Linked DNA regions of Oryctolagus cuniculus. The protein of the gene in region 2 interacts with the protein of the main gene of each other region in a biochemical or structural test. Links are inferred from orthologs where the notes say so. Each region holds a gene or a part of one and is shown on either strand. Other genes may lie near its edges.

The links.
Region 1: the proteins of RHNO1 (region 2) and HUS1 form a complex in vitro, tested with the Homo sapiens proteins (2 studies listed by BioGRID). The link is inferred for Oryctolagus cuniculus from reciprocal best matches to the Homo sapiens genes RHNO1 and HUS1.
Region 3: the proteins of RHNO1 (region 2) and TOPBP1 form a complex in vitro, tested with the Homo sapiens proteins (2 studies listed by BioGRID). The link is inferred for Oryctolagus cuniculus from reciprocal best matches to the Homo sapiens genes RHNO1 and TOPBP1.

What each region holds. Positions count from the first base shown.
Region 1 is NC_091447.1:53,481,223-53,485,462, reverse strand, and holds the start of HUS1 (checkpoint protein HUS1), read left to right. Parts: upstream 1-1,418; 5' UTR 1,419-1,552; coding exon 1,553-1,604; intron 1,605-1,784; coding exon 1,785-2,089; intron 2,090-3,338; coding exon 3,339-3,446; intron 3,447-4,240. UniProt on the Homo sapiens protein: Component of the 9-1-1 cell-cycle checkpoint response complex that plays a major role in DNA repair. The 9-1-1 complex is recruited to DNA lesion upon damage by the RAD17-replication factor C (RFC) clamp loader complex.
Region 2 is NC_091440.1:106,435,223-106,439,371, reverse strand, and holds the end of RHNO1 (RAD9, HUS1, RAD1-interacting nuclear orphan protein 1), read left to right. Parts: intron 1-2,770; coding exon 2,771-3,325; 3' UTR 3,326-3,629; downstream 3,630-4,149. UniProt on the Homo sapiens protein: Involved in microhomology-mediated end-joining (MMEJ) DNA repair by promoting recruitment of polymerase theta (POLQ) to DNA damage sites during mitosis.
Region 3 is NC_091435.1:175,324,503-175,328,069, reverse strand, and holds part of TOPBP1 (DNA topoisomerase 2-binding protein 1), read left to right. Parts: intron 1-31; coding exon 32-175; intron 176-889; coding exon 890-1,071; intron 1,072-1,824; coding exon 1,825-2,021; intron 2,022-3,567. UniProt on the Homo sapiens protein: Scaffold protein that acts as a key protein-protein adapter in DNA replication and DNA repair. Composed of multiple BRCT domains, which specifically recognize and bind phosphorylated proteins, bringing proteins together into functional combinations.

The DNA.
Region 1 (4,240 bases), on a different chromosome or scaffold from region 2:
GCCTGATTGTGGGGGGTCACCCTGTCGGGGTGGGAACTGGCCTAATGAGGGGCGGCCTGATGGGGGAGACTGGCCTGATGGGAGGGGGTAGGCCTGATGGGGGGCAGTCAGATTGATAGGGGGGAAGCGGCCTGATGGGGGAGAAGTGCTGTGATGGGGGGAACCAGTCTGGTGTGGGGGAGAGACGGGCCTGATGGGGGGGAGCCAGCCTGATAGGGGGGAAGTGGCCTGATGGGGGGACTGGCCTGATGGGGGGGAAGTGCCCTGATGGTGGGGGACCGGCCTGATTGTGGGGGGGGTGGGAACAGGTCTGATGAGGGGAAGCACCCTGATGGGGGGGATCGGCCTTTTGTGGGGGGAAACTGGGGGAGTCCCCTATCTGAAGGGGGGAGTCACCCTATCTCCCTGACTGGGGGGATCGCCCTGATGGGGGAGGGGGGATCACTGAGCTGGAGAGGCAAGCGGTCTGCGGGAGGGGTGGGATCACCATGACGGGGGAGGGGGGGGCGGTAATCGCCCTGACTGGGGGGTGGTGATGAGGAAGGAATCCCTTGACGGGGGTGGGAGGGGTGATGACGGAGAAGGAATCGGCCTGACCTCCCCCAGACGGAGAGGTTACCGGCCTGACGGGGGCGGGGAGCGGCAGGACCCCGGCCCCCGGCACCCCGGGTCCCAGTCACCACGCCGCTCCCAGCCCGAGGTTCGGGGCCGCCGCTCTGGGGCGGTACTTCCTCTAATGCTTTACGAGGGCTTAGTTTCATCTGGATATTCTCAAGATCCGGACACCCGCGTCACGACGTCCTGGGGGCAGACCCCCCACCCCTGCCCCGCACGCGGCAGTCCCCATCCGGGGCCCGACTAGGGCCCACCCCTCTAGGGGCGTGGCCAGGTCCCTCCTCCCTCGGGGCGTGGTCAGGGGCCCCGCCTCCCCGGGGCGGCATCAAGAGGCCTCGCCTTCCCCGGAGCGGCATCAGGAGGCCCCGCCTCTCCCTGGGCGTGGCTAGGTCCCTCCTCCCCCGGGGCGGGCTCAGGAAGCCCCGCCTCCCCGGAGCGGCATCAGGAGGCCCTGCCTCTCCCTGGGCGTGGCTAGGTCCCTCCTCCCCCGGGGCGGGCTCAGGAGGCCCCGCCTTCCCCGGAGCGGGCTCAGGAGACCCCGCCTCCTCGGGGCGTGGCCAGGTCCCTCCTCCCTGGGGGCTTGGTCAGGGGCCCCGCCTCCCCGGGGCGGCATCAAGAGGCCCCGCCTTCCCCGGAGCGGCATCAGGAGGCCCCGCCTCTCCCCGGGCGTGGCCAGGTCCCTCTTCCCCCGGGGCGGGCTCAGGAGGCCCCGCCTCTCCCTGGGCGTGGCCAGGCCCCTCCTCCCTGGGGGCGGGCTCAGGACGCCCCGCCTCTCCCTGGGCGTGGCCAGGCCCCTCCTCCCTGGGGGCGGGCTCAGGACGCCCCGGCAAGGCCTCAGGCGGGAGCCGGCGGAACCACTCTGCGCAGCCGCGTTTCCGGGCCGGGCCGCTCGAGGCGGGACGCGTGTCCGCCGCCGACCGCGCTCCCCGGCGCCGACATGAAGTTCCGGGCCAAGATCGTGGACGCGGGCTGCCTGAACCACTTCACCCGTGAGCGGGGCGCGGGCCGGGGCGGGCAGGGCGCGCTCGGGGCGAGGCGGGCGCCCGGGGCGTCTCCGGAGCTCGTCCCCCGCGGCGGGCCGGCGCGGGAAGCGGGAAGCGGGCCGGGGCGCTGAGGGCCGGGGCCGGCGCGCCGCGCGACTCTGTCTCCGTGCCCGCTTCCCGCCGCAGGCGTCAGCAACATGGTAGCCAAGCTGGCCAAGACGTGCGCGCTGCGCATCAGCCCGGACAAGCTCAACTTCATCCTGTCGGACAAGCTGGCGGGCGGCGGCGCGAGCCTGTGGTGCGAGCTGCAGCAGGAGGACTTCTTCAGCGAGTTTCAGATGGAGGGCGTCTCCGCGGACAACAACGAGATCTACCTGGAGCTGACGTCCGAAAACCTCGCCCGGGCCCTGAAGACGGCGCAGAACGCCCGGGCCCTGAAGGTCAAGCTCACCAACAGGCACTTCCCGTGCCTCACCGTCTCGGTGGAGCTGGTGAGCGGCGGGCGGCCCGCGGGGGGCTCATTTCCAGTCGCACGGAGTCCAGGCAGCCCCCGCCCTTGGCAGCCGGTGGAACCCGCGCCGCCCCGGCCCCCGTGAGTCTGGGAGTGGTGGCCGCGCTGGTGCTGGGGATGCCAGTGCCGGTGCGAGTGCCAGCTCGGCCTCCTGCGCCCTGCTGGTGCACCCCTGGGGAGGCAGGTGACGGCTGGCCCCGCCCTGGGCCCCTGCCACCCAGCCCCCAGCTCCCGGCTTCTGCCTGCCCAGTCCCGGCTGTCCGGGGCATTTGGAGAGGGAACTGGCACACGGGACGTCTCTGTCTCCGCTGCTCTGCCTTCCAAATAAATAGAAATTGAATCAAAGACAGCCGTTTCTGTCCGTCTTCCCCTTAGCCGTGCTCTCCCAGGCCGTCTGCGGGCAGTGGCTTCCTCTCATTTTGCTGCCGCGAGTCAGCCCACGCAGGGCCCCTCGGTGGCTCCCGTTTCCTCACAAGGCCTTCAGGGCCCAGTCAGACACCACCGCGGCCCAGTGCTGCAGCTCGCCGACTCGCTGACTCACGGGCTGAGTCCTTCTTGGGCATGGCGGCCGCCTCCCCCGCCCCGTCCCCGCGTCTTCTCTGCGTGTCTCACTCTACAACCTGCGGTGACGATGGTGTTCAGCCCCAGCTCTGTGGAAGACGACTCCTCAGCTCTCTGCAGCGGGCCGGTACTCACGGCCTGGCTGGAGCCCCTCAGAGCCCCTCGCCACAGATCTGGATGGTTGAAGCTTCCAGCAGAGGATGAGCCGCGGGAGCTGAGCGGCTTCCCCGTGGCTTCCCCGCGGCAGGCAGCGTTGCGTCTGCCCCGCGCTCTGCTGGGCTGTTTTCTGGAGTGCTGTCTGGGGCGCGGCCCCTCGCCCGGTGCCGCCAGCCCGGCTGCCTCTGCTGGCCTTGGCAGCATCTGCGGGTGACCTCCCAGTCTGAGCAGCCTCCCTCGGGCTCTGCCTAGTCTCGCTCCTGCGTTTCCTTCCAGGCTGTATCGAGCACCTCGTGCCGTCTTGCCGTTTTTTTGTGTCCCGGTTCTGCCGGAACATCAGGGCCCGCTTCCCAGGTGCCGGCAGAACGGTGCTCCCTCGGCCTGGCTGAGTGGGTTTTGAGAGAATGTACTGACAGCATTCGGCTTCCCTCAGATAGTTCAACTTTTTGGTCCTCAGTAACTTGGCTTTTTAGCACGGATAGCAGAACCATTTTTAATTCTTGTCTTTCCAGATATCCGTGTCAAGCAGCAGTCGCATCGTGACGCACGACATCCCCATAAAGGTCATCCCTAGGAGACTGTGGAGGGACTTCCGGGAGCCCTGCATCCCAGATTCCGACGTAAGTGCTGTCTGCGGGCTCGCCCCTCGGGGCACATGAAGGGCGGGGTTTGAATTCTGTGGTTTTGATTGATCTTAGGGTGCGTTCATGTTTGTTTTAGAGTTGTGTAGGGCCTGAAGAGAAAGTGGCATTCATTTTTAGGGCTGTTCAAGGAGAAATCTGAGTCATGCCTTTGTTATTTGCAAAAAAGATCTTGAGAGACGATCGCGTCTGATGGACGTGCCATGCTCTCAGTGACAGCACCGGGACAGGCCTGAAGCGGCACCGAGTGGTCAGCTCGGGTCTCTGAGGACCCGAGTCCCGCGACCCAGCCGTCTGGATGTGTGTCACAGAGCCGGGAGGAGGGCGTGATCGTGACCGAGCGCCGTGGAGAGTAAAGACGATGCCCAAGGGCCTGGCCTCCTGCTCACCGTTTGCTGCAGAAGAAATTCAACGCTGTGCTGGACAGATGATCACTGGGCTCCGCCGAGGGCCGCCTGGACTTGGGAAAAGGCAGCGTTGGATGAAGCACACGGGTGACGTGGCCTCGGGGTGGCGCAGTGACTGCTCCCTGTCGTGCACAGAGCTCGGAAGAGGCCCCGCTGAGCGCCGCCGTCCTTCTTAGGTGCTTAGGGACAAGCCGCCCAGGGGGGCAGAGCAGGCATGCCGTGCTCCAGTTTTGTTTCATTGCTGTGAGTTAATGAAATTAGAAAAACGGGTCCCCTGTGTTTTGAAGAGCTTCATTCAGATCATTTAAAAGCAGGACGCAAGCGTGCGTGCATTCCAGAGTCAGTCAGGAATCTGTCGTTATCATG
Region 2 (4,149 bases):
GCCGGATTCTGTCCAGGTTGCTCCTCTTCCAGTCCAGCTCTCTGCTGTGGCCCAGGAAGGCAGTGGAGGATGGCCCAAGTGCTTGGGCCCCTGCACCCGCGTGGGAGACCAAAAGGAAGCACCTGGCTCCTGGCTTCGGATTGGCGCAGTGTGCCGGTGTGCTGCAGCCAGCTGTAGCAGCCATTTGGGGGGTGAACCAACGGAAAGGAAGACCTTTCTCTCTGTCTCTCTCTCTCTCACTGTCTAACTCTGCCTGTCAAAAAAAAAAAAAATAAATAAAATAAAAAAAAAAATTCATCACCCAGGAGGCGGAACTGTAGCGCAGCGGGTTAAAGCCCTGGCCTGCAGTGCTGACATCCTATATGGGCGCCAATTTGAGACCTGGCTGCTCCACTTCTGATCCAGCTCTCTGCTGTGGCCTGGGAAATCAGTAGAAGATGACCCAAGTTCTTGGGCCCCTGTACCCGCATGGGAGACCCGGAAGCTCCTAGCTCCTGGCTTCTGATTGGTGCAGCTCCAGCTGTTGCAGCCACTGGGGAGTAAACCATTGGATGGAAGACCTCTCCCTCTCTCTGTAACTCTGACTTTCAAATAAGTAAATATCTTAAAAAAAAAAAAATTCACCACCTAGTAACTGGGTGAGAAAAGCTAAACAAGTGGCAGAATGAGTAAAAATGAGATTGTGCCCTGCACATCATGTGAAAGTGGTATATTTAACTAGGTACTAGATTTTTTGAACCTTGAAATACAACCCACAGAAATGGCATATGTCATATTTTGACAGTTTAAAAGCCCTGGGCCGGCGCCGCGACTCAATAGGCTAATCCTCCGCCTGCGGCGCCTGGCACACTGGGTTCTAGTCCTGGTCAGGGCACCAGATTCTGTCCCGGTTGCCCCTCTTCCAGGCCAGCTCTCTGCTGTGGCCAGGGAGTGCAGTGGAGGATGGCCCAAGTGCTTGGGCCCTGCACCCCGTGGGAGACCGGGGGAGGCACCTGGCTCCCAGCTTCAGATCAGCACGATGCGCTGGCTGCAGCGCACCGGCCGCAGCGGCCATTGGAAGGTGAACCAATGGCAAAGGAAGACCTTTCTCTCTGTCTCTCTCTCTCACTGTCCACTCTGCCTGTCAAAAAAAAAAAAAAAAAAAAAAAAAAAGCCCTGGGAAGGGGCAGGCATTTGGCTTAAGAGTTAAAATATTAAGTTAAGACATAGCCATATCCCATATCAGAGTGCCTGGGTTCAAGTCCCAGCTCTGCTTCCAATTCCAGCTTCCTGCTAATGCACACCCTAGGAGGCAGCAGCTGATGGCTTAAAGAGTCAGGTCTCAGGGCCTGCACTGTGGCGTAGTGGGTAAGGTTGCCACCTGCAGTGCTGGCATCCCGTATGGGCACCAGTTCAAGTCCTGGCTGCTCCACTTCCGATCTAGCTCTCTGCTATAGCCTGGGAAAGCAGCATAGGATGGCCTAAGTCCTTGGGCTCCTGAATCCATGTGGGAGACTCGGAAGAAGCTCCTGGCTCCTGGCTTCGGATTGGTGCAGCTCCGGCCATTATGGCTAATTGAACCAGTGGATGGAAGACCTCTCTCTCTCTCTCTCTCTCTCTCTGCCGCTCCTTCTCTCTCTATGTAACTCTAACTTTCAAATAAATAAATAATCTTAAAAAAAAAAAAAAAAAAGAGTCAGGTCCCTAGACCTAGATTGAGTTCCTGGTTCCTGGCTATTGCAGGCTTATGGGGAGTGAACCAACAGATGGTCTGTCTGGCTCTGTCTCCCCCCCCCCCCCCCGCCCAAAAAAAAAAAAAAAAAAGACAGGCCTGGAAGACAATATCAACTATATGACAGGGAAGTTCTACAGTAAAGCAGAAGCCTTGCCTAAGAGCATTTAATAAATACAACTTGTTCAGGATGGCGGAGAAAAACCATAAGTCAGGATTCTGGAGGAAAACTTCAAACGTTAGAGTCCTGTGGGTGAGACGAGGAATGAGCATTTATTGGATACCATCTGCCAGGTCCTGTGCTGGCTGCTGTCCGTGTCTGACCTCCCTCCCCATTGTTGCAGTCAGCCATTCACTCTTTACTGAGGCCAGTCCTTGAGCCAGGCACGCTGCGAGGGGTGGGGGATCAAGGATGAGCAGGACTACTGGCCCCTACCCTCACGAAGTGTATGGAGCAGTTGCAGCCTTGTGGCACGATGAAAGAGGCATTGTCGGGCCAGTGCCATGGCTCACCAGGCTAATCCTCTGCCTGTGGCGCCGGCATCCTGGGTTCTAGTCCCGGTTGGGGTGCTGGTTCTGTCCCGATTGTTCCTCTTCCAGTCCAGCTCTCTGCTGTGGCCTGGGAAAGCAGTGACGGATGGCCCAAGTGCTTGGGCCCTGCACCCGCATGGGAGACCAGGAGGAAGCACCTGGCTCCTGGCTTCGGATCAGCACAGCGTGCTGGCCGCAGCGGCCATTTGAGGGGAGAACCAACGGAAGGAAGACCTTTCTCTCTCTCTCTCTCTTTCACCGTCTAACTCTGCCTGTCAAAAAAATAAAAATAAAAATAAAAGAGGCATTGTCCCCGTTCCCACATGTGAGGAAGCTGAAGGTCAGAGAGACTGAAAGACTTGCCCAAAGCCCATATCCTTCTATTACGCCACTAGACACTTGTTTCTGTTTTGCATCCATTACTGAAGTGGACCCCCATTTAGGATTCTGGTCGTTGGGAGTAGTTTCCTGTCTCAGGCTAGTCCTTGGCGGTTGGCTTGTCTCACCCGATTATTTTTAAATCCTTAGGTAACACCTCAGTTTGATATAACAGCAGAAAGCTGCTTCCCAGTGTGCCGGAAACGTCCCCGCAACCAGAGAAGACATTCAAGTCGGAAATCCACCACATCCAAGTTTCCACATCTCACTTTTGAGAGTCCACCCACTTCTTCCAGTTCAGAGACACTGGGGATGCCCTCAGTGAAGGAGTGTCCCCATCAATCAGAAAAGGACGTTTCCAGGAGGCCCTTGGTTCCAGTGCTCAGTCCCCAGAGCTGTGGGGACCCATCTGTGAGTTCCCCTGAGAGCCTGCCTCACGTGTTCATTCCTCCTGACATCCAGACCCCAGAGCCCTCTTTGGTGAGGGGAGAAGCCATTCCCCCAGACCAGAAGGAGAACGGCCTGCGAAGCTGTCCCCTTCACCTCGGCACTCCCAGCAGCCCAGAGCCTGGGCCTGTGTTGGCTGAAGACACCCCTGAGGAGAAGTACGGGGTGAAGGTCACGTGGAGGAGGCGACAGCACTTGCTTGCATACCTCAGGGAGAGAGGGAAGCTGAGCAGAAGCCAGTTCCTTGTGAAGAACTGACTGCATTCCCGGACAGCTGCTCCCACACCAGCAGTCCTAACAGGGCTGTGAATGTCACTTTTCTGGCACACCAGGGAGTGTTTCTGTAGAATAAAATGGACATAACACCAGCAGAAACTAGATGTAACTAGAGCCCAGGGTCATAGGGGAATTTAATTCCCGATTTGCCTCTTAAGAAACTTGACCATAAACAGTTGAGTTCAGTGTCATGAACTGCTCATGTGTTTTCTTATATTAACTTTAAAATACCTTGAACCTGTTTAACATGTGTATAAATAAACAGTTGCATAAAGTTTTTAGAGAACCCTGCTCCTGTCAGTAGTGTAACAATATTACCCACCCACAAAAATCTTTCTTAATTATGTTTTCACCACTACTCATCAGTCCTTGAATCACTGCATTCAAACTAATTCATCCACATCTTTGAGTATCAACTCTGAGGCTCAGTGTCAACTGATGGACAGGGGTAGTCAAAGCAAAGCCCGGGGCCTCGGAGTGGCCTTCTGTCACCCCTCCTCTTGGCTCGTGTGCTGACAGAGCAAGATGAACAGGGGCTCAGGGCCTGCCTTAGTGAATGCAGTGGGATCAGGGATGAGTGGCACACACAGAGGGGGCACTTAGATCAGCTTGTGCTTTGAGTGTTTCCACCCAAGAAACCTGTAAATGTTAAATCTGTAAATATTAAATAAGGGTAGGAAAATGGTTTCTTATAATAACGGTGTATACATAAACGTGGACCTTTTTGAATACTGTTGGAGCTAATGCAGGCTTGCCCAGTCAACAAAGTGTCACGTGGGTTATGCAAGTAGCATCTCATTTAAGCC
Region 3 (3,567 bases), on a different chromosome or scaffold from region 2:
CTAATTTTCCAAAATACTTTCTTTTTTGTAGCTTGGTTGCAGAATTGTTGGTCCTCAAGTGGTCATATTTTGTATGCAACACCAGCGATGTGTCCCAAGGGCTGAACATCCAGTTTATAATATGGTTATGTCTGATGTAACTATATCTTGTACAAGCCTGGAAAAAGATAAAAGGGTAGGTGTTAGGAATATCATGATCTGTTTATTATCATACTTAACTTTTCAGTGTAGAAGATACTTTGAAAGACCTTAAACTTAATTTTCATATTTTTAAGAGTTCAACATACAACAGTATAGTATACCTTTTTTCTTAATAAATTGTATATAGTAGAATTCATATTAAGAGTTTTTATGTTTCCCTTCAAAACTGTTTTCCTTCCACAGTTAATAAATCACATTTTCCCACATTAGATGGATTGCCTTAAAAAAATTCTTAGAGCTGTATAAATATATTGATACATAATTTGTATTTTAAAAATATTTATATTTTTAAACTATAAAAAATTGAGCATCCGTAATCTGAAATCTGAAATACCCCAAAATCCCCAATTTTACTGACAAGACACCACAAGTAGAAAATTCCACACTTCACCTCATTTAACAAGTCACAGTTAAAACACAGGTGCACTAAAATTATTGTTTAAAATTACCTTCAGGCTGTATGTATGAGGTGTATATGAAACACCCATCCCCAAGATGTCTCATTTTGTATCTGCAAATATTTCAAAATCTGAAACCAGAAGCACTTCTATACTCACTCTGTATATGTATAGTGTATATGAATATAATCTTTATTACAGAAACAACATAGTTTAATAAACTCAAATAGTTGCGTAAATACAGGAAAGTAATTCATATTTATCTTACTATTTTCTTTTTGGGGCTGCAGGATGAAGTTCATAAATATGCACAAATGATGGGCGGACGAGTATTCAGAGACCTTAATATATCAGTAACTCATCTTATTGCAGGAGAAGTTGGCAGCAAAAAATACTTAGTTGCTGCAAACCTAAAGAAACCTATTTTGCTTCCCTCTTGGATAGAAGCACTTTGGGAGAAGTCACAAGAGAAGTAAGAGATCTTTTCTAGATTGGAAAAAGGGTGCATACTCTGGGTTTTCATAGGGGAGCTTTATTATATCCCCTTTGGATTAGTTATTCAGAGAGAAAATTGGGGCTTATTGAATGAAAACAGAAGAGCAAAATGTATAAGCTCTTATTATCAAGTGTAAATTGACAGGTTGAATGGAGTATGGGTTTAGCATTAGGTACAAGGTAAGAAATCTTTTGATAATAAAGTTAGTTTTTACTACTAAATGCTCCTAAAATAATTGAGAAAATCCATTTGGCAACTCTGTAGCTCTTATGTTGCATTATCCTTAAACACCATTCCTGGATGTTAAGATGGAAAATAAATAGCCATTTTGGCAATGTATACCCCTTAAAAAGGGTATATGTAAAACTGAATATGAACATATGTAAGCTATCAGCTGAGATGTGATCATTTAATAAATGTTAATTGAGCGCATTTTGTGAACCTGGCCCATGTGTTTGATACAAGTGTTGAAAATATACTGCTTTGACCAACAAAGGCTTAATGTTAATGAAATACATATTTTTTTCCCTTGAAACAGTTTTTATTTGAGGTTGTATCTGAAACAATATATTAGAGACTTGGTATTGAGCTGAGTGTCAGTTCAGGACACTGAATTGAGGAAAAGCAGTAGTGGGATTTCTGTTGATTGTCATTACTCTGTAAATTTAAAATTACCTGGCATACTTCATATGATCATTTGTATTTCTTTCTACCATTTGTTTTTCCCAGTAAAATAGCTAGATATACTGATATAAACATGGAAGAATTCAAGTGTCCTATTTTTCTTGGTTGCATAATCTGTGTGACTGGCTTGTGTGGCTTAGACAGGAAGACAGTTCAACAACTGACGGTTAAGCATGGAGGCCAGTACATGGGACAATTGAAAATGAATGAATGTACACACCTCATTGTTCAAGAACCAAAAGGTAAAACTGTGTTTCACAAAGGGACAGATGGCAAGCTTTTCTCTAGTATGTAACGTTTAAAACTATTGCTTCTGACATATTCTTAACCTAGTTTAATATTTTTTTCCCTAAAATCTTGAAAAGATAGTTTGGGTACAGTTTGAGAAAAGATTATATAACCATCTTAGTGTTTCTCCAGGTCATTGATTAAATACAAATAAAACTAAAAGTTTTAAACCTCTTATGATATTTTGTTAAAAAGAAAGAAAAACCACTTCTACAGTTGTCAGGTACTTAAAAGAAGTTTGGGTGAATGACAAGAAAACTGAGAGGTCAAGCCAAATGACACTTCTTTTAATGACTAAAAAACTGACTTTATTTTTAATTGAGTGAATCAACCTGACTGAATGAACTAGAAGTTTTTTTGTTTTTTACTGTGCATGTTTATGGGCTACAATGTGAGAATTTGGTACATGTACAATATATAATCAAATCAAGGTAGCTAACATTTCCGTCTTCTTAGACATTGATTCTTTGTGTTGGGATCCTTCAAAATTGTTGCAGTCACCCCACTGCTGTAGACTAGCACTACTCTTCCTCTATCTGCATTCTGATGCCTGTCTGTTCTCCCTCACTCCCTGCCCTTCACAGCCTCCACTGACCTCTGTTCTGCTCTCTTGTTAGAAAATCAGTGTCTGGGCCGGCGCCGCGGCTCACTAGGCTAATCCTCTGCCTGTGGCACCGGCACCCCGGGTTCTAGTCCCGGTCGGGGCGCCGGATTCTGTCCCGGTTGCCCCTCTTCCAGTCCAGCTCTCTGCTGTGGCCCGGGAAGGCAGGGAGGATGGCCCAAGTGCTTGGGCCCTGTACCCCATGGGAGACCAGGATAAGTACCTGGCTCCTGCCATCAGATCAGCGCAGTGCGCTGGCCGCGGCAGCCATTGGAGGGTGAACGAATGGCAAAGGAAGACCTTTCTCTCTGTCTCTCTCTCTCACTGTCCACTCTGCCTGTCAAAAAAAAAAAAAAAAAAAAAAAAAAAAAAATCAGTGTCTTTAGCATCTACATTACATGAGAACAAGCAATGCTTGTCTTTCTGTCCTGGCTTATTTTACTTAGCATAATGTCCTCTAGTTCCATCTGTGTTGCAGCAAATTGACTAGAAGTTTAAATTGAAGATACACCTTGCAGAACATGAGGCAGTAAAATAAAAAAAATTACTCCAAATATGAATTCTTTAAACTTTTGGCATTCTATAATCTTTGTATCTCTTTTGCAGAATATTTTTTACCAGTACTCATTTTTTTTTAAGTTTTATTTATTTTTTGGAATTTAGAGTTACATAGAGAGGGCAAGACAGAAAGAGAGAGATCTTCCATCAGCTGGTTTACTCCCCAGATGGCCACAACTGCCAGCACTGGGCCAGGCAGGAGCCAGGAGCTTCATCCAGGTCTCCCACATGGATGGCAGGAGCCCAAGCAGTTGGACCACCTTCCACTGCTTTTCCCTGGCCATTGGTGTTGGATTGGAAGTGGGGCAGCTGGGACGTGAACCAGCCCATATGGGATGTCT